Linked DNA regions of Coturnix japonica. The protein of the gene in region 1 binds, or shares a complex with, the protein of each later gene. Links are inferred from orthologs where the notes say so. Each region holds a gene or a part of one and is shown in the gene's direction. Other genes may lie near its edges. The genes, in order: CNOT9, CNOT11, CNOT10, CNOT2, CNOT8 and CNOT7.

Region 1 (4,147 bases):
CCTTCTCTCCATTAATTCTGCTGCACCACTGTATTACGACATGAACCAACTGCTGCTTCCTGCCAGGTCACTCACAAGGAGGTGGAGGTGGAAAAGGAACCATACGTGTGTCAATACAAAAAGTCATTTTCAACTCCTGCGTCCTTTTGCACTTAGTTATTCATCTCTGTCACTTCTGTGGCCTTTCCTATGAACTACACGCTGCTACACAATGACATCCTTGCAAGTTGAAACCACAGCCAAACCTCGCACTGCAGAGCAAGAGGCTGCCCATCAGATTGGAGCCTCCTCCTAAAGTGGCCCAACCTGAGTATTGCCACACAGCTGATCCAAATAGTGATGGCCAATCCAAGTGAAAACCCTTCTCCAAGCTCCCACAGAGCGCCAGAGCCAGAAGAGAGGCAGACACAAAGCCTATCCCTGCAGGCATAGACAGCTGCTGGGCAGGCTCCCACAGAACCACAGCTCCAGGCGTTAAACTACCAACAGCAAAACTCAACCTGGTAGAACAGAGCATGAACGAGAACCTTGGGAAGGCACATAAGGAATAAAGGAGCACAGCACCATGGTCAAACAGTGGGATTCCACCTCCAGGCTGCACACAAAGAGAGAACATCCCAAAACAAGACTTGAGCCACGGCTCCACACCTGCAGCTCGGCCCTTCTGATCCAGCAGATGCCATAACACCAGAACTGAGTAACTCAATGCTACACCGAGGGATGGCCCTACTGAAGGAGGCAGTATGAGCAGTGACAGCCGGTAACCGGGCACGGCAGCACCCACCTGGAAGGTCTTTGGGATGCCCCTCATGCCGTAGTGCACCACCAGGTTGACTTTGTTATCCTTCTCCACCACCTCGAAGCAGCCCTCCTTCCACCTGGTCACTCCGGTCTGCATGCAGTACAGCCTCACGGGGCCGTGTACTTTCAGCAGGGCCATGGCGGGGCCTCACCGACACAACCTGCGGGGATCACAACACGTGTGGAGCGGGACCGCCACGGACCGGCACTCACCGACACGCCGAGCCGCGGCCTTCCCGGGAGTAAAGCGGGGAGAAGCTGAGTGGGGTCGGTGAAGGGGGAGGCGGCCCCTGTGGACGCGGCCCCGTCACGGTGTGTCGGTGCGAGGCCCCGCCGTGAGGGGCCGCGTTGGCTCCCGGTACCTGCGGGGCGCGGCGCCGGATGGCGGGAACCGGCTCCCCGCGCGACGCACGGCACGCAGGCGCGCGCGCGCGCCGCTGACGTCAGCACGGCGGCGCCATTCCCGGCACGCCCCGCAACTGCGCATGCTCAGAAGCGGTGCTTTGCCTTTCCCCCCTCCCACCGGCGCGCATGCGCAGTTAGAGAGCGGCCTGCTGCCCGCTGCGGGTTGTGCGCATGCGCAGCTCGCCCTCCTGCAGGCCGCGTCCCCTTCCCGGTGTGTCTCTATGGCGGCGGGGGCCTGAGCGGCGGCACCATGCACAGCCTGGGCACGGCAGCGGTGAGACGGCACCGGGACGGGGATCGGCCTCTAGGGGGGGTAACGGGGCTCTAAGGGCTACTTCGGCGGCCCAGCTCCTCGTTCGGGTCTCAGGAGACGGCGGGAGGGCGAGGGGGGGGGAGGCCGCCTCAGAAGTTGTGTGTAGGCCTTGGGCTTCCACACAGCTTTAGGGTGAGCAACAAGGAAAGAGGAAATGAGGAGGAAATGCGGCTTTTGGTTTTAGCTAGAATGGTGACTGAGCATAGTAGAGCCTTTGGGCTGGGGAGATAGCAGGACACGGGGAAATGGTTTTAAGTTGAAAGAGGGAAGATTTAGGTTGGATGTTAGGGGGAAGTTCTTCACTAGGAGAGTGGTTAGGGCCTGGAACAGGCTGCCCAGGGAGGTTGTGGATGCCCCGTCCTTGGAGGTGTTCAAGGCCAGGTTGGACGGGGCCATGGGCAACCTGATCTATGGGGTCTCTATGGGGGTCTATGGGGGTCTATGGGGTCTCTATGGGGGTCTATGGGGTCTCCTGGGCAACCTGATCTAGTAAATGTGTATGTTTGGTGGCCCTGCCAGGCAGGGGGGTTGGAACTACATGATCCTTGAGGTCCCTTCCAACCCGGGTCATTCTGTGATTCTGTGAGATAAGACTGATACTGGACATTGTAAGCTTAATAGCTTGGAAAATCTGCTTAGTGCTCCCTAGGGATCGTAGACACACCGTTGTGCTTTTAAAGGGTCGATATATTTAAGCTTGCAGGAATTGAAACTTACAGAGAGTCTGGCAAAATAGATGGAAGCTTTAGATAACATGGCTATAACAACGTTAGTGCTGCACTGCCATCCCAAATGGAAACAAATGAGCTCAGTCTGTTCGCCCTCTCTCTCCCAGCTGTGGTATCGGTGTTACCATTGGGATTGTGTTCCTTGTACAGCAGATTGTTAGGGTTATTATTTCTGTGTGAGGTTCTAGGGGGGGGAAATGAAGTAAAATAGAGTAGATGAGGTAAAAAAAGGGGATAGGAGGAAAGGTGAGCAGGTAGAAGGTATTAGAGGCCTGAGATGTCGGGATTGGTAACAGCATATCAGCTTATATTGTAGCCTAAATGGCAACTTCAATCCTCTATATATCCCACAGGATCATAAGCATAATGTGCGGGTAGCTGAGCAGGGAAACTGCTGTAGGAATAGGAGAGAGAAGGAAGGCTCTGGGGGGGTGTCCCAAAGACATGGTCTCCCTCCAGCAGCAATGGGAACTTCATTTGGGTTCCTGTTGCTGTCAGTTCCTGAGCTCTGTTGTGTTCACTAAGGAGCATTGCTGGCACTGTGGTACATGAAGCATTTGCTTTAATGCATGTTTGCCTCCAAATAGTTGGTCTGTATCACCACGCTGTCTGTGTAGGCCAGAAAGTGAAACATCTGTCTTTCAGCTAGGCGAAGGACTAAGCTTAATCTAAAGGATCATCTATATCCACAGTTTCTTAATGCAGCTTGAGTCCCTCCCTCCCCCAGCCACTTCCTCAAGACCTTTTTATTTCTTTACCTTTGAGGCTGTGAGAAGCGTTTGGGTGGGACTTTGCTGTAACAGCTGTGACTGAAGTTTTCCTGTCTCCCTCCCAGCCTGTGCCTACAGCACTGGCTCAGGTGGACCGTGAGAAGATCTACCAGTGGATCAACGAGCTGTCCAGCCCTGAGACGAGGGAGAATGCACTGCTGGAGCTGAGCAAGAAGCGCGAGTCTGTGCCTGACCTTGCCCCCATGCTGTGGCACTCATTTGGCACCATTGCAGCACTCCTTCAGGTGGGTAGGGCAGAGCTCAGCTTTGTTTCGTGGCACAGTGCTGCCACACTGCACAGCTCTGTGTGGCCACGGGGTGGATCTGGGGAGGCGCTGATAGTCCCTTCGTGCAATTACTGTGAGTATGATGGCTGCTGGATCACATGGTGAGAGGAACCACACAAGGAGGGCACTTCTAATGTTTTCCATTAGTCATTTCTTGCAAGGTAATGTCCTTAGAGACCAGGCCATAAGATTGTTGATGAGATGGCTTAGACAGGTGAAAGGGGAGTAGCCGAGTTCTTCTGTGTATGAACTTCTTGTAGATAATATTCCTTTTCTATTTGTAGTGGCATAGCAGAACCACAATAGTTTTACTCCTAACATCTCTGCTTTGTGCTGTGGAGTTTTTTTTCTTTATTTTCCTATGAGTCTGAGTACTACTTGATCAAAAGGTTGCCATTACAGAGCCCTCATGGGGGCAGTATGGAAGTACTTGTAGCTCACTGCTCCAGAGTACCTTGCAAAGAAAACTAAGTGCATTTCTGGTCAAAGCGAGTGGCTCAGCTGAGCTCTGGGTAAACTACAGCTGATGTCTGCCCACCTCTGCTGGATCTTGTCATTTCATTTGAAGAAGAAAGGAAAATGGTGCAGGATAGGCAATGGCAGACTGTGAAAACAGGGTGGCCCTGAAACAAGTGAAGAAAATGCTAAGGGAGCCATAGCTGGAAACAGACAGTTTTCTGAATTGGATTTCTCACCTTCAGCTGCTTCCCCTTCATTGAGTTAGAGGAGTACCAGCAGCTATGGTATGAATGAAGTGCGTGTGCTCTGCCTCTAGGCACAGGAGCAGCATTCCTCTTTGCTCCAAGAATTCAAAACAAAGTCATCCCCACATCCGCAAAGAGC
Region 2 (4,183 bases), on another chromosome or scaffold:
AAAGACCTTGAAGATCATCAAGTCCAACCACAGCCTAACCAGCACCCTAACTCTAACAACCCTCTGCTAACTCATATCCCTGAGCACCACATCCAAATGGCTCTTAAACACAACCAGGGATGGCGATTCAACCACCTCCCTGGGGAAAATAATAATAATGACTTGACATGGGCTGACACTTGAAAACTGCCTTAAAATACCCAAGTGTCACTACAGTTCACAGAAGCTCAAGAATTTATCACCAACCATGTTTGTTTCTGAATGACCATGGAACAGCACATATGAAGCCATTGTAAAATCGTATCTGGGGTGTTTTTACAAAATACATCCAAGAATCGCTTGACATCTTTGAGGTCTGATGAACAAGTGAAGCTCAGGAAGGCTTTTAGGCATTGTTAGCACGCCAATATTGTTGATTACTCCAGGAGTAATAAATCTGTTTCTGTTGTCTCATGGTAGGTTTTGAACTGAAGAGCTGAACTAGGAAAGATAACATGCAATGGTCACTAGAAAGCTGCATATGGAGAGGCTCACACGAAACCTAACTTCCCCAACCCTTTTAGATTTGTTGCTATTAAAAATACACTGTAGATGGGCAGGGTCACTTAAATTACTAAGGGAAGGAATCTGTGTACAAGAGAAAAGCCTTGTGAGAATAAACAAAACAATCTGGATGTGTTCTGATTTCCCCTTTGACTTCAAGGTGTGACTTAATTCCTTCCCATCGTGTTCTTCCCATGTGAAATGTGGGATAAAAATACACCAGTGGAAGTTATTTCCTAGCTGAAGGATTCAGCTTCTTCGCTAGAAGAAACTCAAACACTTGCTGTGAAGCAGGTCAATTTAATATCACTTCTTTGCCACCTTTTTCTTTCACCTCCCTCCTGCTGCCTATTTCTGTTGCTACCTGAGCAGAAGCACCACAGATCTACTTGAGAGTGGATGAGCACCCAGACAACTTGCACACACCAGAAGCACAAAATCCGCTGCTCAGTTTCAGGTCACAGAATCTCAGAATTGTAGGGGTTGGAAGGGACCACTAGAGGTCATGGAGTCCAACCCCCCTGCCAAAGCAGGCTCCCTACACCACGTCACACAGGTAGGCGTCCAGGCGGGTCTTGAATATCTCCAGAGAAGGAGACTCCACCACCTCCCTGGGCAGCCTGTTCCAGTGCTCCATCACCCTCACTGTAAAGAAGTTCGAACTTCCTATGCTGTACTTTCATCCCATTACCCCTAGTCCTATCAGATGACAGCACCACAGGGCGGTGTGCGTGGAACGCGCTGCGCTCCCCCTACTGGCCCCAACGCCCGTCGCGCTCCGTCCCCGCCCCGCCCCGCCAGTCCCGGCCCAATGTCCCGGCCCATCCCCTGCCGTGCCGTAAAGCGCGTCCGGCGCCTCAACGCTCGGCCTTCCGGTGTTGTGCAGCGGCGGGGCCGTGCGCCGTGAGGCGGATGCCCGGGGGCGGGGGCAGCCCGGCCGAGGCGGGCGGTGAGGCGGGAGGAGCGGGTGGCGGCGGTGGAGCGGCGGGCGGCAGGATGAGCCTGTCGCCGAAGGAGCTGACGAGCCTGCTGGGCATCGTGTCGGAGGAGGCGGGCGGCAGCACCTTCGAGGGCCTCTCCAGCGCCTTCCACCACTACTTCGGCAAGGCCGAGCATTTCCGCCTGGGCTCCGTGCTGGTGCTGCTGCTGCAGCAGCCCGACCTGCTGCCCAGCCCCGCGCAGCGCCTCACCGCCCTGTACCTGCTATGGGAGATGTACCGCACCGAGCCCCTCGCCGCAAACCCCTTCGCCGCTGTCTTCGCCCACCTGCTCAACCCCGCTCCCGAACGCGGCGGCGACGAGGCGGAGCGCACCCCGCTCTCAGGTGCCGGGAACGGCCGGGGCTGTGACAGCGGGAAGGGTCACTCGTTTTGCCGTAACGTTACTGTACGAGATGATCTCTCCACGCTTAAGGAGCACGCGGGGTAGTGATGGCCTCAGGAATCTTACCGCTCCCCTCTCTCCCCGCAGGCTTCTTGCCGCCCATAACCCCGCCCGAGAAGTTCTTCCTCTCGCAGCTGATGCTGGCCCCCCCCAGGGAGCTGTTCAAGAAGACCCCGCGCCAGATCGCTGCCATGGACGTTGGCAACATGGCCCAGTCGGTGGATATAAGCGGGCTACAGCTGGCATTGGCGGGTAAGGAGGAGATGTGGCTGTGCTGTGATAGGAGAGTGGTTAGGCCCTGGAACAGGCTGCCCAGGGAGGTTGTGGATGCCCCGTCCTTGGAGGTGTTCAAGACCAGGTTGGACGGGGCCCTGGGCAACCTGATCTAGTAAATGTGTATGTTTGGTGGCCCTGCCAGGCAGGGGGGTTGGAACTACATGATCCTTGAGGTCCCTTCCAACCCGGGTCATTCTGTGATTCTGTGAAATGTTAATTGCTGTTTGACTTTGAGGTGCTTCTGTCTGTGTGGCAAAAGTTGGACTGTGGTCAGGTTTTGCAGTGTTAGCTCACACTAAATGTTCTGCCTTTACTAGGCTATAAGGAACTCAGTGCTTATTCTTGGGCAGGAATAGGATTGTTCTGATCGTGTGGAGCAACAAGTTGCATCTAGAGCTGATCTGAAATGGAAAATATTGCTTAGAATGAGTTGCCAACTCGAGCAGTTTATTTCCTAGGTACTCTATTCTGCACAATACAGTACTTGGCTTCTAAACTTCAGTTCAGTTGGTGACGTACTGTAACAGGTTGCCCAAGGAGGCTGTGGATGCCCCATCCCTGCAGGCATTGAAGGCCAGGCTGGATGTGGCTCTGGGCAGCCTGGTCTGGTGGTTGGTGACCCTGCACATAGCAGGGGGTTGAAACCAGATGATCACTGTGGTCCTTTGCAACCCAGGCCTTTCTATGATTCTATGATTCACTGTGGTAACTTTTCTTGTAGGCTCTTCTATTGAATGTCAGTTGCTGGAATAGAGCGTCTTGATTCTCCAGATCAAGAGAGCCTGATAAAACATAAGTGATTGCATTCGTAGGAATTGTTTTCTTCAATTTGAACATACTGGTTCAAGTTGCTGTGTTCTCTTCTGAAATACAACCGTGTTCTAGCTAACAGCGCTCACCCCTTCCTTCTGCTTACACTGGGCTGCCCAGGGATGTGGTGGGGTCACCATCCCTGGAGATGTTCGGGAACATGTAAGAATGTATCTTAAACTTTTGTTCTAATTAAGCATCATTAGTCATTTGAGATGAGGGGATTTGAGGGTATACAACCAATCCATGACTTTATACCTATATAGGTGTAAGTTTTAGACTACGGATGACAATGAAGGACACCCAGTATGTCACCTTGTTTTCTTCTCAGAGAACTTCTTACGTTGACTCAGCTGATCCCTGTAGGAGCTGAATGGTAGAACTCACAAGCTGGAATTTCCAACAGCGTATAAAGTTTGAGCATATATTCCAGTGTTTTGCATGGGCTGACATAATTGGAAGATGGACATTTCTAGTATAAACTAGCAGTAGGCAGAGCTTTGTGTCTGTGTCCTTTTGTTACCTACAGGAGTTTTGCTGTAAGCGTCTCTCATGGATCTGAAATAGAGTTTCATACGGATGAGGAGCTGCAAAGGGTTATATGGCTGCACAAAAAAGTGTGCTTTGTTAAAAGAGATAAGGATGGGGTACTGAAGCTGAGGGCACTACACTTAATTAATCATCCGGATAAGAAATGGTGTTGATTTCGTGTGGGACCAGCAAATTTGGCCTTCAGATTACTTGAGACTTTATCTGCTACTTAATATCCTCCTTGGGAGGGGGAGGGAAGGAACATAAGATGGCATTGTATGGCAGGCTCTTGGCTTTCCTGCATGTTGTTGGGCTTTTGTTGGTTTGCTTTTACCAAGGTAATAGAAAACATGGTTCTCACTAATACAGAGAATATGGAAGGTCAGCCCTTAAGCCTTCAGGTATGGAAGAGCGAGAGACTGTGACAGAAGAACACCTAAAATTTGACAGTGCAAATATTGATTGGTTGTAATAGTTTATTTTACCACTCTTTCACGTCTTCAGCTTCATATGCTAAATTTAGTATTACTTCTATGTACCTTGTTTATGCTCTGTAATTTGGGCTTTAGAGGGATGCTCTTACAGGACTTTATAGCTGTAACTGTAGAATCCTGTATCAATTAAACTCCTATGCAAAAGC
Region 3 (3,500 bases), on another chromosome or scaffold:
GGGAAAGTTAGGAAAGGTGTGTAACCTTCCTCTTCTGCCGGCCTGTGTTAAGCAGACATCCAGGGGCTAAACTGGAACTCAGTCTGAAGATGAAGTGAGAGACAAACATAAAAAGGTGGGCCACGAGTTAGACAGGCAGCTGCTCAGTGTACGTGTGATGGAGACAGATTGTGGAAACTGAGGAAATAAAGAATCTTGAAGCTTGATATAATGACGCCAAAAGAACAACAGTTTTTGTAGAAACATGTTTGTAATAGTTAACTGTTCTATTTGTTCTTTCTCCATTGAATTCTTGTTCAGTTTTAGTTAGGACCTCAGCTTTGACTTGCTTCTCATACATTTCAGTCTGCATGACAAATGGAGTTGGTGTGGAGCTGTTTACTTGTGTTGGTCAGGGAAATCCTACATTGCTCTCTAGACTCAGAGAGAGGAGGAGGCTGCCATTAAAAATTATTGACTTATTAGAGGATACAAAGTTTAAACTAATCCCTTTGTGATGCCTGCTGTTTCCAGGCGGGAAATTATGATGCCTGTTTGCAACACCTGAACACCCTTCAAGACATAAACAAAGATGACTACAAAATAACTTTGAATACTGCAGTTGCAGAGTTTTGTAAAAGTAACCAGACCACAACAGACAATTTGAGACAAACCCTGAACCAGCTGAAGAACCAGGTAATGCAACCACTGCATGATATTTAAGCATTGTTAATGGGGATGGGATCTTCCAGTGAAATAGGAAGACAAGTTTTGCCTCTTCCCTTTGTTAACTTGTAACTGTTACTGCCCTATCTTTAGGCTCATTAGTACCTTTGGATTATTTTTCTATAATAAACATTTGATGCTTTAACATCATAAGTTTGGAAAGCTTAAGGATAAACAAGATTCAGTTCTGTGTGTTTTGGGTTTTTTTTCAGGTTCACTCTGCTGTTGAAGAAATGGATGGTTTAGATGATGTTGAAAATAGTATGCTTTACTACAATCAAGCTGTTATTTTGTATCATCTGCGTCAGTATACTGAAGCTATATCAGTTGGAGAGAAGCTGTACCAGTTTATAGAGCCTTTCGGTGTGTAGGCAGAAGAGTTTTGTTTGTGCAGTAACGAGGCAGAGTAAATGATCTTCCTCTGCTTATCAGAAAAGTGACTTGTAAACGTACATAATAGTAATAAAAAAAAGACAGGCTTAGGAATGATGAGTAATCTTTACTTATAAGGACAGCATTTGAATTTGGGTGGGAAGGTGCTTCAGAGACACTTAGCAGATGAGTATAACAAAACTAAAACAGATATTTGACAACTTCAGGAGGTATTTTATGAAGCAACAGGGATGAAGTGTTTGTATGTGTGGGTCTCAACAAATCCAGTAAGTATAATGCTGTTTCTCCCTCAGTTCTCAGTATGCCTGTGTGGAGCTTACTCTGTGAAACCAGCCATGCAGAGATGTGTTTGTATGGAATCCTTAAGTTCTGTAAGATTCTGTATAGGCTTATGGCCCATCAGTCTCTTTAGACGCTGGATCCTTGGTGCCAGTGTGCTTAGATCAGTACTCAAAATCAATGTGAAGTGATTTTTAAGCTGTCTTTGGTCTTTGCTTTCAGATGACATGGGTATGAAAGAATTACCTCTTTGTGTTAACATACTTGTCTGTGTGATGTAGGTGTCTGCTTTTTTATCTTTTTTTCTTATTTAGTATTTGGTTTTTCTCATAACATTGTGTAGATGCACTTTGCAGCTGTTAAAGTGGTTTTCTAATTATTGCTTTTTTTGTTCTGTGATTGTTTAGATAGGAAGGATCTTACAGTCCTAATACTGATCTACTTTTGTTTGATATAGAGGAGAAGTTTGCCCAGGCTGTGTGCTTCCTGCTTGTGGACTTATACCTGCTGACTTACCAGGCTGAGAAGGCCTTGCATCTCCTTGCTGTCCTGGAAAAAATGATTTCACAGGGCAACAATAACAGCAAGAATGGAAAAAATGAGGTAAGCTTAAAATGGCATGAATGCCGCTGTCTTTACCAAAGGTATGTTTTTATTAAATCCAAAAGTAGTCTTTTAAAATAGTTCAGAATTTTAAAGCTGTTAAGATATCTGTAACTTCAGACAACTGCCACATTTTAATAACCAAGTTAATTGTGTACAGTAGCTGTATGTTCTTTCCTTCCCACCCTTTTTGTGCCAAGAGCTAAGAAGTGTCCCAAGTCAGAGACTTATATTAGAAAGTCAGTTGTCTTCAGTGCCAAATATACTTGGTTTTCCTGGTGTCCCAGATGACGACTGTGTGATACTCTGTGTTTGAAATGTCAGTGAAATTAGTGCCACAGGGTGAGAAGTCAAAAATTCCTTTAATGTATTGTCTGGAAGTATGAGGTGGGCTTTCAAATGCAATCTTTGATATGTACCTTTTGGAAACTACTATAGAATGGGTAGTGGCTTGGAAGTGGAAAGTGGACACTTTTGTCTTCTCCTGTTGATAAAATGTCACACTTAAGATACAACTTTATTTTTGAGTATATAATAGTTCTGCCAGAGAAAATATGGAGAAGAGAATCAGGAGCATGCAAACTATATTTCTGAATAAGAGCATTCTTAGAATTCCTCAATGCTGGAGCAGATTAGCGTAATGCTAACCTTCATATAGAGCTCTGTACCTCATAGGCTGATGTCCTCCTTCTTTGGTTTTGATTGCAAAGCTTAAGTTACAAGTTTTTGGTGGAATATATGGACATTTTTGTATTTGTTTGTTTTTCTTTTAACATTATTGAATATCAGTTTTCATCATTAAAAGAGATTGTTTTTACCAATCACCTTTTAAGTTCAGTTTACGGTTTCCTTCATAAGCTCCTAATGCTTTTTTATTTATTTCTGTTTTTTGTTTTCTTTTGACAGTCAGGTAATAATACAAATAAAGATTCCTCCAATCAAAAAGCTGAAAGTGGAGCTTTAATAGAAGCTGCTAAATCTAAAATACATCAGGTGGGTGTGTGTGTGATTTGTACAAGAATATCCATTCAGTCTTCCTTAAAACTGAGAGCTGCCTGCCTCAAATCTAGCTCAGCATGAATTGTGATATTGTCATCTTCAATTTCATTTTGTAGGTCAGAAAAATGAATTTAACTGACCCTTTTTTTTAAGATCCACGTACAGGAGAAACTGACCTAAGAAAAATCCCAGTTTCAATACCTACATCTTAACATAATTTTGTTAAATGGCATTTAGCTCTAATAATCTTACATTTGTTTGTCTGCAAGACAGTCTAAATCAGTGAGGTTTTATTTCCCAGTACTGCTCTTTGGGAAAATGAGTGAAGAAACAATATGCTTCACTATCACCTTTTGCTTATTGGTTGAACAGGTAACTGTCTGGGATTTACAGGTTAAATTATTTTAATTAATTTGTTGTTTTATGTGCTGATGTTTTGGTATTTGAATGTAAAGCTGTTGAATGTTTGCCAGTGAATAAAATGCACGTTTGCCTCTTGCAGATAGGAATTGTATAAATTT
Region 4 (3,500 bases), on another chromosome or scaffold:
TTTAAATTCTCTGAGGCTTCCTCAGCAGCCTCACACCAAAGCGATAGGACTGTTATTTATAGCTATCGCGTTTTAGATGCAAGCATGTTTCTGTTGATCTGCTGCACTAAATGGCTTTCTCTTGTCTTTGGACATAATTTTAAAACTTCATGAATACAGAAAAGGAACGTGGAAACGATCAGAAGCTCTGTAAAGTATTCTGACGTTTTGAGACTGGTTGTTTTTTGTTCTTCTGAACTGAGATGGTTTCTTTTTATCGCGCGTTAATAAAGTACTTTCGTAATTTCACAGCACCCAAATGCTTGCATAGAAAATAATTTTTATGACAATGTAAAAAAAAACAAAACAAGCAAGCCCCCAAACCAGCCCTGTGTGCTTTTAATTCCTAGTTGAGGATGCTTAAATTCTACTTGCTTTCAGTCCTCAAAAAATTAAGTTTAACCTGACTTTGGACACTGTAATTGCCTTAACAAAAAGAAGCAACTCAGACTTTATAGAGAAGTGTCCTAAAATATTCATTCCGATGCTCTGAAAGCCATGTTATGAAATATTCCTAGTTTTATTTTTTCTTAGTTATAGGTTTGCGTATTTTTTGACAAGCTAGATGGACGTTCTAGATGCTGGCCAAATATGTATCCATTTATTCAATTGCAATAACCTCGTTCTTCAGTGGAGATGTTTATTTTCTCAGAACACCGACTTTTTAAATATGTGGATTTCCATGTAGATGTCCTCGTCAACAAAACCACAGCTCCCCCTCTTCTATTCAGAGTACATCTCAAAGGAAACAAAATCTTGTTAGTGACTTAAAGAGCCTTTCTCGAGTTTGACAAGAATGGGGCTATGTGTGAGGTAACTGGGCTTGTAGTACGCAAGCAAGGACTTCATATTACGCTGCACTTTCCTACAGTCTTTACACTTTTTGAGGTTGTCAGCATAAGTTGTTTCCATCCACACCTGATGGCTAAGACTTTGTTCCGGATCGCTATGTATCTCCACCCCTCTGAATTTTTTTTCAATAGGTGCACTAGGCCTTCCAATGAGGGGAATGAGCAACAATACCCCTCAGTTAAATCGCAGCTTATCACAAGGCACTCAGTTACCGAGCCACGTAACGCCAACAACAGGGGTACCAACAATGTCACTTCACACGCCTCCATCTCCGAGCAGGTATTTATTGATAGCCAATGTTTCTGCAATTGTGTCTTTCGGCAGAGCACTTACTAAATGTTCTGCGTATCGTGCCACAGCTACTTTTAGACTGATTAATTAAAAAAGAAAAACAGTAATTTTTTATTGACCACTGCCTGTGTTAGGTAAGTAATACCGTAAAACGGTAGGATAAGACTTAACTTAAGACAGTGTTTGATTTTGTATGTAAAGGATGTAAAGTTGTTGGCAAATTCTGCTTCAGAATGTAAGAGTCTGTTTTTCAGTTGTTCTGGTAAACAAATGGTAAATGTTTTTATATGGCTGTATTACAGTATGAAAATATTAAGGTAGTAGGTCTGAAGTGCTCTTTAAATAAGAGTTGTAACGCCTCTTCAAAAGCATAGTACTTAAGTATTTATCTGAACCTGACCGAGGACTTGATTGGTACGCAATGGGTCATCTGGTGTTTCTGAAGAAATCCAAAACTACGTTAATTATAGAGAGTACTCCAAACATACAGTGTTGAGTCTAAGCACAAATTAAGTTGCTACAACTCTTAAGTGTATCCTACATGAGTAATTTAAATGAGTAACCAAATACTATTGTACAGATTCATCTCTGTGGATGGTTTTTCTCTTTCAGGGGGATATTGCCTATGAATCCTAGGAATATGATGAACCACTCCCAGGTTGGTCAGGGCATTGGAATTCCCAGCAGGACAAACAGCATGAGCAGTTCAGGGTTAGGCAGCCCCAACAGAAGCTCTCCAAGCATAATATGTATGCCAAAGCAGCAACCCTCTCGACAACCTTTTACTGTGAACAGGTAAGGCTGTTTGGTCAGACCATGCCTGTGCAGCCATGGGCGTGCTTAAGATCTGCTTTCAAAGTCTATTTTTTTATCCATTAGAATAAAACTTGAAAGTGTTGCTTTGCGTCTTCCGGTCTCTCAACGCTAACTTTCCAAGCTGCTGTCAGTAGTTGTGCAGCCATTTTTGAAGCCTTTCAGCTAAATTCTGTTTCTGACTACTTAATTTCTACTATTCCTTCTTTAAAGTATGTGATGTTTCTAGTATGTTCCCAAGTTTATTTTTGAAACAGACTTTGTTTTTTGTATGTATACATCTTCTTGAAAACTCTCCATCTATGAGTTTGGGAAGAATTTAGTCAAGAGATAATCCAGAATAACTGTTTCAAATTGTGGTTCTGTAAGAATAGTTAACTGATTTGGACACAATGGAGACCTCATATTTTACTTTAAATTCTGGAATAATATGGAAAGCAGTGGTTTGCAACTCATCCAAGGTGCTTGTTTTGATGCCAGAATTTTCTCAGTTACTTCTGCTCTTTTTTTCTAACTCTGGGCAAGATTGTGGCATCAGAAATCATTGTGCTTTACCTGTCTTGTTGATATGTTTATGCTTAGTTTATATTGATAACCTTGTAATAAAATGTGTGTCAATTCCAATTACATAGTGTGTAATCAGCTTCATGCAGCTGACTGTTTTCCAGACTTCTTTCCGGAGCCTCATGATCCCTGTGTTCCCAGGTCATTCCTCTTTCTCGCTTCATGCCCTAGGCTAGGGGACTGAGCTCAAATACACTCCTGGCAATCAAATGCTACCTCTAACCCAGTGTAGTATTTTTACTAATCAAATGAAAAAAAATGGATGCCAGTTATCTGAAACTTGATCAGTCTTCTTAATTCTGTATCTTTGCATTATGATGTAGGCATAAGTAACCTCTTTCTTCATCACAGCAATAGAGGTTTGATAATAGTAATTTGTGTTCTTGGAGTATGAGAAGACTTTGGTCAGAGACCACTCTGAAAGTAATGCCTCCTATTTTATTTCCATGGAAACTACAACAGATATAGAGACTATAACAACTATAACAACAGAGAATTTGATGGAGCAAATTCTCAGCTACGAAACACCATTTTTCAACATAGTCACTGCTGTTAGCTATGCATATTTGCCCATGATGAGCAAGACCTTGCATGCCATGCTTGTCAAAATCTGCACCAGCTGAGGTGACCCACTCACTGCCTCAGTGTGCTCACACCCACTGTTTGGTCTCCGTAAACATTCAGTAAGTTCCAATGGAAGCCATTTATTCCAGATGGAGGAATTCACTTCCACACCTTTGCTTATCCGTGCTTCCATCTCAGGTGCCATTGTGTCAGACTGCCCCTCTGCTGCCTTCTGTCACACAGCAACAACATGTAACAGAATATTGGTGGGATGGTTCAGCCCCCACTGCCATACCACCAACATCTGCTTCTGATGTTGTGGGATAACACAGTAAAATAGGAGGCATTTCTTAAAGAGCGGCCGTTGTGTCTTGGCC
Region 5 (4,061 bases), on another chromosome or scaffold:
AGAAAATATAAGGATAACCTACCTGCTGTCCACAAAAGCTGTGCATCAGCCACGCTGTACAGTCAGATACAGGACTAGATGCTGTGTCTGGTGGCTCCCCTATTGTGCCAAGCCCTGCATAGCTCAGAAGGCAATTACAGCTCCTGGAAAAGCTTACAGTTGTATTTTAAACATACACAGGACATTGCCCTTTAGTTATTTCTAAGGTTTCAATCGGGTATTTTTAAGCCACGATACCTTTGAGCTCCGTCTCTTTGCTCACCTCCTGCTGGCTGTAGCCCAGTAGAGGTCCTTTGTACACAGTACAACTCCTCACCTTTCACTACTGCTGGGGAGACTTTATGAGGGTTTAACAGCGGGGTGTTTCCAAGCAGGAGTTGGCTGTCCCCTCCCAGACAAGTCATGTGAAGCCAGCACCGTGTCACTGTTAGTGCTGGCACTGCTCCCTGTTGCCACTCAGCCCAGTGCTCAGAATACATCTCTGTAGGTAGGAGTTTGTCATCAGGGTTGAATGGCTGTATATGTGAATAAAAAAGGCAGCTATACCTTAACGATAAGTCATTTCTACCAGAAACTAACTAGTGTTTTCAGCACAAAGCAGCTGATGCCAATGCAACCGAATGGCTCAAAGGCGCATTTGTGCAATGCGTGTGAGTTACGGGGCAGTCTGTAAAGCCAGCAGCACATCTCACTACATATATAACCTGCACCAGCTGTCCCTGCATCAAAGCTCCGTCTATAGGTCCTGTCTATGGGATGAGATGCAAACAGGTTCCGATGTGGTTGTGCTCAGTGGTGTTTCAATGCACTTATAGACCACAACGCCTGTAATTACAGCACTGCGAGGTGTAACTTGATGCAGATATGGCCCCAATCTGCACCACTTACCCCATATACAGGTTGCCCAGTTATTTGGGTTATTTGCATGTTATTTAGGCTCGCTCTGGTGACATAATTCATCTAATATGCTAAAGCAGGCGATAAGAGTGAACTGTGCAATGTCAGCGTTCATTTTAACCCCCGTTCAGTTCAGATATAGCTTCTATCTGAGGGATTTACAGCCTTTAAGATTAAAGGATGCCTTGCTTTGCTTTATACACCGGGTCACAGCGCAGCGCCACGTCACGGCCGGACACACAAGGACACCAGCACTGCGCATGCGCAGCTTTCCCCGTTCCCCCTCCGCGGGAGCGCGCACCAAGCGCGCGCCACCACACACCGCACCGCGCGCCGCTGAGGCTGTACCGGAAATCTCGCGAGAACAAAGCTCCAAACCCGGAAATCCCACCTCAGCCTGAGGCGTCATCGCGCATGCGCTGAAGAGAGAGAGAGAGGCACGGCCACAACTTCCGGGTAGGGCAGGTAGCGCCTGGGGGAGGGGAAGGAGATGGGGAGCGGAGCAGCGGGAGAGCGGGGCGGGACGGGACGGGAAAGGGAGGCACGGAGGGTCCCAGCGGGTCCCGGTAGGTCCCGGTAGGTGCGGGGCCTCTCGCGGTGCGGTGGAGGGCGGCGGTGGCGGCCGTGTCCGGGTGGGCCCCTGCCCTGAGGCGGCGCGGGTCGTGTAGGCCTCAACCGGGCCTGGGGCGGCGCTGGGCCGTTGTTTGTTGGCGGCTGCCTCGGGGAGGCCGATGGTGGTGATGATGTGCCGTATTGTGCCGTACTGTGCCATATTGTGCCGTACTGTGCCGTATTGTGCCGTGTTGTGCTGTACTGTGCCATATTGTGCCGTACTGTGCTATATTGTGCTATATTGTGCCGTATTGTGCTATATTGTGCCGTACTGTGCCATATTGTGCCGTACTGTGCCATATTGTGCCGTACTGTGCCATATTGTGCCGTACTGTGCCATATTGTGCCGTACTGTGCCATATTGTGCCGTGTTGTGCCGTATTGTGCCGTACTGTGCCGTACTGTGCTGTGCTGTGCCGTACTGTGCTGTATTGTGCTGTATTGTGCAGCTCGTTCCTTTTTTCTAGCTCTTTTTTCACTCATAGCTCCGTTCTGTCTGTTTCTTGCAGCACACTGATTAGATCTCGCAGCTTTCGGTTGTAACGCGGCCATCTGAAGGATTGGGGGGAGCTGGCTGTGCCCTGTGCCCGGCAGGATGCCAGCAGCCCTGGCGGAGAACAGCCAGGTGATCTGTGAGGTGTGGGCCAACAACCTGGAGGAGGAGATGAGGAAAATCCGAGAGATTGTGCTGAGTTACAGCTACATCGCAATGGTAAATGCTTGACTCATTTGTCTTATTCAAGGAATAGGGGCTAACGATAGTTGGACCCAGAGATCTTTTCCAGAGTCGATGATTCTGTGGTGGTTATGACAGCTTTGAGTGGGGATGCTAAACTCAAAGATAGGAGAGAAATTTGTAATGAAAGCATGATGTAAAAATACACGTGCCTTCAGAGCGCATAGAATTCAGCGCAGAACAAAGTTGTGTAAGTAAACAGTAAATGTGTATCTACATATTTCATATTGTATGTTGATTGGAAACGAGCTGCCTTGCTTCAATATCATCTCATTCTGGCCTGTTGTAATTGCTGTGCTGAGGCAGTGGGTACAGGAAGATGTGAAGGCAAAAATTCTCTCATGTGCTGGATCCTCTATGAAAGTTTTTGTGTGTTCTGAGTCAATTGATGTCATTTGACTTGAGAGCACAAATTGCTTGCTTTGTCGTTAGGGTCTGCCTTGATTTGCAGCCATAAGGTTTCCTCTTCCTTTTCTAGGACACGGAGTTTCCTGGGGTTGTTGTAAGGCCGATTGGGGAATTCCGCAGTTCCATAGACTATCAGTATCAGCTTCTTCGCTGTAATGTGGACCTTCTGAAAATCATCCAACTGGGCCTGACTTTCACAAACGAGAAAGGAGAGTATCCTTCTGGGATCAACACCTGGCAGTTTAACTTCAAATTCAACCTCACGTGAGTCTTCTGCATTAGGGAGCAACACCAGAAGAGATTATGTGAGGCTCAATGCCGGCATGACAGGCATTGCAGTATTTCTGGAATGATGTTATGATCTCAAACTTTACGTGCTTTTTATACATTTCCATATATTTTATGTAATCAATTAAATGCATGTATACTTACTATATACTTACTATAAGCTGATCATGCAGTTCTTGCAAACAGAAGTGGCAGTGTTTACTTGCACAACTGTCAGCCTCCTAAAAGCATTGGAGTCATAACAAAGAGGTTTTGACACTGAACGCTATTTGACTCAAAGTTATCATGTTTGGTTTGAGTTTTATTGACACTGTGACTCAAAGTTATCGTGTTTGATATGAGTTTTGTTGACTTCTCTCCCATCATCTGTGGCACTTCTGTTCCCTCAGTGTTACTTTTCAAGATGTCTGTTGTGTGAAGGTTTTATGGCATTCTTCAGGTTTGGCAATAGCGACAGAATTAATATTTGGTTAAGATTGCAGAATAGCTTGTTAAATGCATAGGAGTAATGGTATTAAAAGTGATTTGAGCTTCCTAGAGACACAGCCATGGAGCTCAGAGATGGATTGCCTGCAGGTCACTCTGATTTTCCAAAATGCAACTTGTGAGAAATCTTTTGGCAATGAGCCTTCCTTGTTAGCACCCTGACTGCAAAGCTCTGCTTTTCTCCTTCAGGGAGGATATGTACTCTCAGGATTCCATAGACCTCCTTGCAAGCTCTGGGCTGCAGTTCCAGAAGCATGAAGAAGAAGGGATTGATACCCTGCATTTTGCTGAGTTGCTCATGACTTCAGGGGTCGTCCTTAGTGACAGCGTGAAATGGCTGTCGTTTCACAGGTAGGTCTGAGGTGATTACTGGTACTACAGAACAAGATGCCTCTTTTTGGCTTAAATAGTGCTGCTTTGGACCATAGAGACTAACAGACCTTAAGGAGATGGATTTTAGCAGCTGTGCAGTTCTTAATATAAGTTTTAAATTGTAAAGGCGAACTTTAAGTACTGGTACTTCATTTTATCTCAGCACCTTCTGTGATCTGTATTTTGTGCGTGTTTTGCTGTTATCTTCCTCTATGGAAAAGAAGGTTGTAAGTATAGAAAAACACCCTAATGAGACGAATGT
Region 6 (3,500 bases), on another chromosome or scaffold:
CCTGATTAGTGCAGAGGAACAGACTAGAAATGAACTTCTATTTATTTATTTAGAGCATGATAGGCATGTTTGTTTTGGATGGCTCTTTAATGTGTTATGGAAATGGACAGGTGTTGGGAAGCTGATGCCTTAAAGCTGGGGAACTAATGAGCAGCTGTGTGGGAGAGAAGGAAAAAAAGATACAAGTCCTGAGAATGCATTTCTCTCTTGATGAGTTATGACTTGCTATTAGGAATAAGAAATGTAAATCTACAGCTGAACCTAGTAGTCCAGTGCGTATCTGTTTTATTTCTTGAGGTGTTTTTTTTTCCCCAGTAAAATAGAAAAGCGTATAGTGGAGAGACTTTGTGAAAGAATATGTTATAGACAGTAATACGGATAACATCTAAGTAGAGCCAGCTTTGTTTTTTTTTTTTTGTTTGTTTGTTTTTTTCTTCCCCATTATATATTTCAGTGATTTTGAAGATTAGATTGTACTTTTAAAGTTTTATCCATTTCATTACAAAATACCCAAGAGTTCATAAAAATGGGGGTGGTGAATGAAACAAATGCAGTAATAAAAGGGATCAAGTAAAGCACATTGGGATTTTTTTCCCTCCCTGTTGAACTGTAGGTTCAAAATCTGTCTGTTAAAGAGAAGCTGAAGTTGATGATTTAGAACAAAAATGATAGACTGAATTTCAAGAGTTGACTTACTGGGGCAAGTACTGAATTTCTAATTGTAATGAGGGGGTTTGATGAGAATTGATGCAAGCTTAAACTACAGATAAAAAGAAGGGGTTTGAAAGCAGAACCGATCCAGCACTGGAATTTGGATATTGATGTTAAATCTTTAATATAGCTGGTGTCAGTGCTCCAACTGTTTTGTTACTGAATGAGATCTGTTACCTTAAACTGTAAGGTAACTACATTTGTACACGCAGAGTCTGCAAAAAGGGAGTTCTGTGTAATGAGAAGAGGAACAGGAAGTAGATTTTTGTGATGGAGACTGGAACAGAATTGCTAGGAATAATTGACTGCTAATGAAAGTTAACAAAGCTATGAAAAGTGGTCCTTTTTATAATAAACAAGGAACAAATTCAAGTTGCTGCACCTCTACTGCTATTATAGTCTGTGTAATGGATGGGGAAAAAGAAGTGTTAATGGATTTGTAATCAGCGAAGCCTGTAGATTGAAAAAATGTTCTCTCTGTTTTTAGAGAAGATATGTATGCACAGGACTCTATCGAGCTGTTAACAACGTCTGGTATCCAGTTTAAAAAGCATGAGGAAGAAGGAATTGAGACGCAATACTTCGCAGAACTGCTAATGACATCAGGAGTTGTACTATGTGAAGGAGTCAAGTGGCTTTCATTTCACAGGTAAATTTTGCATGTTAAGTAATTGTTGTCTGTTTTGGTAACCGGGTTTTATGTCTCCTGTTTTAAGCAGCGTACATCTGCAGGTACATATCATATATCTTAATTGGTAAGACTTAGGAAACTATTTCTGCAATGTATGGTGTTGTGTGTTAGAAAAGTAGAGTGTATGGGATGGTAATGGCATCGATAATGGCTTTTTAACAGCAAAACTGTAAGCAAACAATGCATGGAACGCCTAGACCAGCAGGTGGCATTGTGTCTTTAATATCGGGTGTGTTTGCATAATAATAGTAGTGGTGATTTAAAAACAAACTATTTGTAAGCATTTCCTGAGCAAATATAGCTTGTTTCATGGGCAATAGCACAGAATTATTAGTAAAGAGTTTTAGGAAGCAGAGTTATACTTATTGTAGATCTGTTAATATGGGCAGATAAAAATTCTTCAGTTTAGGAGAGCCCTGGTAGAAGTCTTAATTCAAGCAGCAGCAGTGAATATACTCTATCATTCATTCTATTGCAGGAACATATTTTCCAAGTAGAAATAGAAATGAGAATGCCAAAATTCTGTGAATCTGTCAAGATGTGAGGACAGGCTGAGAAAGCTGGGTTCTTCAGCCTAGAGAACAGAGGGCTTTGGGGGGAGGACCTTATAGTGGCCTTCCAGTACCTGAAGGGGGCCTACAGGAAAGCTGGAAAGGAGCTTTTCCTAATGGCATGTAGTGACAGGACGAAGAAAAATGGTTTTAAACTGGAAGAGGGTAGATTTAGACTAGATATTAGGAAGGAATTCTTTACTTTGGAGGCGGTGAGATGCTTGAACAGGTTGCCCAGTGGGGCTGTGAATTCCCCTTCCCTGGAAGCACTCAAGGCCAGGCTGGATGGGGATCTGAGCAACCTGGTCTAGAGAGAGGTGCCTATAGCAGGGGGTTGGAAATAGATGGTCATTAAAGATCCTTCCAACTCAAATTGTTCTATGATTCTATGACCTTCTGTTAATAAGACTTAAACCTTTAAGACTTAGGCATTAGTAATTGCATGTTCAGCTAGATGCCGGGGGTAGCTTGCACTTTTTACAGGCAACAGCAAGTTTAGAGACTTTTTGCTATGTATTGAGTATGTATTGGCATCTTAAATGCTGTTCTCTATGCAAGTCAGCAAAAGTAGAATAAATTTTTTAGCTGAAAATTGGAGGTTTCTTTGCAGTCATTCATATTTATCATGTGTGTTACATTGGTGAGTGGTATTATGTTTGTTATCAAAACTGGAGGGGGGAAACAACAGACCAAATTCTTTGTCCTTAACTGTGAAGTATTAGAAGGGGAGTTTGGAGGAGAGAAAGGTGCATGAAGTATTTAGTCAGAAGTATTTAAGCAACAAGTGGAAAATTGTACATAACAAGGAAAGTAATTGTACGCTTCCCCTTGTGGAAAGAAAAACGAGGAATGAAACTATACAGATGTAACATCTGAATACAAGCTTAGATGAAGATTCTTTGTCTTCGTAGGGGCTTAGAAAGGCATGTTGTTACGTCTTGACACCTGGCAAAGCTGTGGTGCTCAGTATGTGAATTAATGGCCCCTTATACTAAGATTCAGTAAAGTTCAAAAGATTTCTATAAATAATGATATTAAAACAAAAACATTTTGTATAGGGCTGTTAAAGACTCAGATCTGATTGTCTGAAATCATTAAGCAATATATTCCTTAGTAGAAACACTTCTCCCGTTGGACTTTCTTAAAAAATCATCTGTAAGTATGCTTGTTGCCTAATCTGCTTCCAGTGTCTTCCATTCAGGGCTGTCTGCTTATGTTATGTCTTCTCTCTTGAATAATCTTTCTCTGTCTTTCAACTCCAGCAGCAGCTTGGGGAAAATAATGGAATAAGAAATGCCATTGACTGTTTCAAAATAGCCCCAGATTCTGAAGGGGTGTTGAATTAAGTTTCTTTCCTCATTTTAAACCCATTATTAAGTGCAAATTTATAATTTACACATCACAACAGCAGAATAACTCGGGTTGTTCAGGAGAAGAGCTGAGGTATGTCAGGCCTGCAACCTGTGTACCAACAGGTGTTGGCACGAAGAAGCAACTACAGCTATCAAGTGTTGTTCTGCTGTTAACTTAAAGGATGCAGTGTAACC

The links.
Region 2: CNOT9 (region 1) and CNOT11 share a complex: the UniProt entries of both Homo sapiens proteins name them as parts of the CCR4-NOT complex. The link is inferred for Coturnix japonica from reciprocal best matches to the Homo sapiens genes CNOT9 and CNOT11.
Region 3: CNOT9 (region 1) and CNOT10 share a complex: the UniProt entries of both Homo sapiens proteins name them as parts of the CCR4-NOT complex. The link is inferred for Coturnix japonica from reciprocal best matches to the Homo sapiens genes CNOT9 and CNOT10.
Region 4: CNOT9 (region 1) and CNOT2 share a complex: the UniProt entries of both Homo sapiens proteins name them as parts of the CCR4-NOT complex. The link is inferred for Coturnix japonica from reciprocal best matches to the Homo sapiens genes CNOT9 and CNOT2.
Region 5: CNOT9 (region 1) and CNOT8 share a complex: the UniProt entries of both Homo sapiens proteins name them as parts of the CCR4-NOT complex. The link is inferred for Coturnix japonica from reciprocal best matches to the Homo sapiens genes CNOT9 and CNOT8.
Region 6: CNOT9 (region 1) and CNOT7 share a complex: the UniProt entries of both Homo sapiens proteins name them as parts of the CCR4-NOT complex. The link is inferred for Coturnix japonica from reciprocal best matches to the Homo sapiens genes CNOT9 and CNOT7.

What each region holds. Positions count from the first base shown.
Region 1 is NC_029522.1:24,240,973-24,245,119, forward strand, and holds the start of CNOT9 (CCR4-NOT transcription complex subunit 9), read left to right. Parts: upstream 1-1,347; 5' UTR 1,348-1,456; coding exon 1,457-1,480; intron 1,481-3,082; coding exon 3,083-3,262; intron 3,263-4,147. Other genes in the region: USP37 (ubiquitin carboxyl-terminal hydrolase 37), read right to left, coding at 785-940. UniProt on the Homo sapiens protein: Component of the CCR4-NOT complex which is one of the major cellular mRNA deadenylases and is linked to various cellular processes including bulk mRNA degradation, miRNA-mediated repression, translational repression during translational initiation and general transcription regulation.
Region 2 is NC_029516.1:120,253,613-120,257,795, forward strand, and holds the start of CNOT11 (CCR4-NOT transcription complex subunit 11), read left to right. Parts: upstream 1-1,383; 5' UTR 1,384-1,455; coding exon 1,456-1,867; intron 1,868-2,013; coding exon 2,014-2,178; intron 2,179-4,183. UniProt on the Homo sapiens protein: Component of the CCR4-NOT complex which is one of the major cellular mRNA deadenylases and is linked to various cellular processes including bulk mRNA degradation, miRNA-mediated repression, translational repression during translational initiation and general transcription regulation.
Region 3 is NC_029517.1:37,323,541-37,327,040, forward strand, and holds part of CNOT10 (CCR4-NOT transcription complex subunit 10), read left to right. Parts: intron 1-513; coding exon 514-675; intron 676-917; coding exon 918-1,068; intron 1,069-1,834; coding exon 1,835-1,980; intron 1,981-2,886; coding exon 2,887-2,973; intron 2,974-3,500. UniProt on the Homo sapiens protein: Component of the CCR4-NOT complex which is one of the major cellular mRNA deadenylases and is linked to various cellular processes including bulk mRNA degradation, miRNA-mediated repression, translational repression during translational initiation and general transcription regulation.
Region 4 is NC_029516.1:32,450,366-32,453,865, forward strand, and holds part of CNOT2 (CCR4-NOT transcription complex subunit 2), read left to right. Parts: intron 1-1,022; coding exon 1,023-1,170; intron 1,171-1,794; coding exon 1,795-1,977; intron 1,978-3,500. UniProt on the Homo sapiens protein: Component of the CCR4-NOT complex which is one of the major cellular mRNA deadenylases and is linked to various cellular processes including bulk mRNA degradation, miRNA-mediated repression, translational repression during translational initiation and general transcription regulation.
Region 5 is NC_029528.1:5,997,883-6,001,943, forward strand, and holds the start of CNOT8 (CCR4-NOT transcription complex subunit 8), read left to right. Parts: upstream 1-1,261; 5' UTR 1,262-1,353; exon of another isoform or gene 1,354-1,642; intron 1,643-2,018; 5' UTR 2,019-2,104; coding exon 2,105-2,221; intron 2,222-2,723; coding exon 2,724-2,917; intron 2,918-3,616; coding exon 3,617-3,778; intron 3,779-4,061. Other genes in the region: FAXDC2 (fatty acid hydroxylase domain-containing protein 2), read right to left, coding at 23-152, 238-479. UniProt on the Homo sapiens protein: Has 3'-5' poly(A) exoribonuclease activity for synthetic poly(A) RNA substrate. Its function seems to be partially redundant with that of CNOT7.
Region 6 is NC_029519.1:56,937,584-56,941,083, forward strand, and holds part of CNOT7 (CCR4-NOT transcription complex subunit 7), read left to right. Parts: intron 1-1,198; coding exon 1,199-1,360; intron 1,361-3,500. UniProt on the Homo sapiens protein: Has 3'-5' poly(A) exoribonuclease activity for synthetic poly(A) RNA substrate. Its function seems to be partially redundant with that of CNOT8.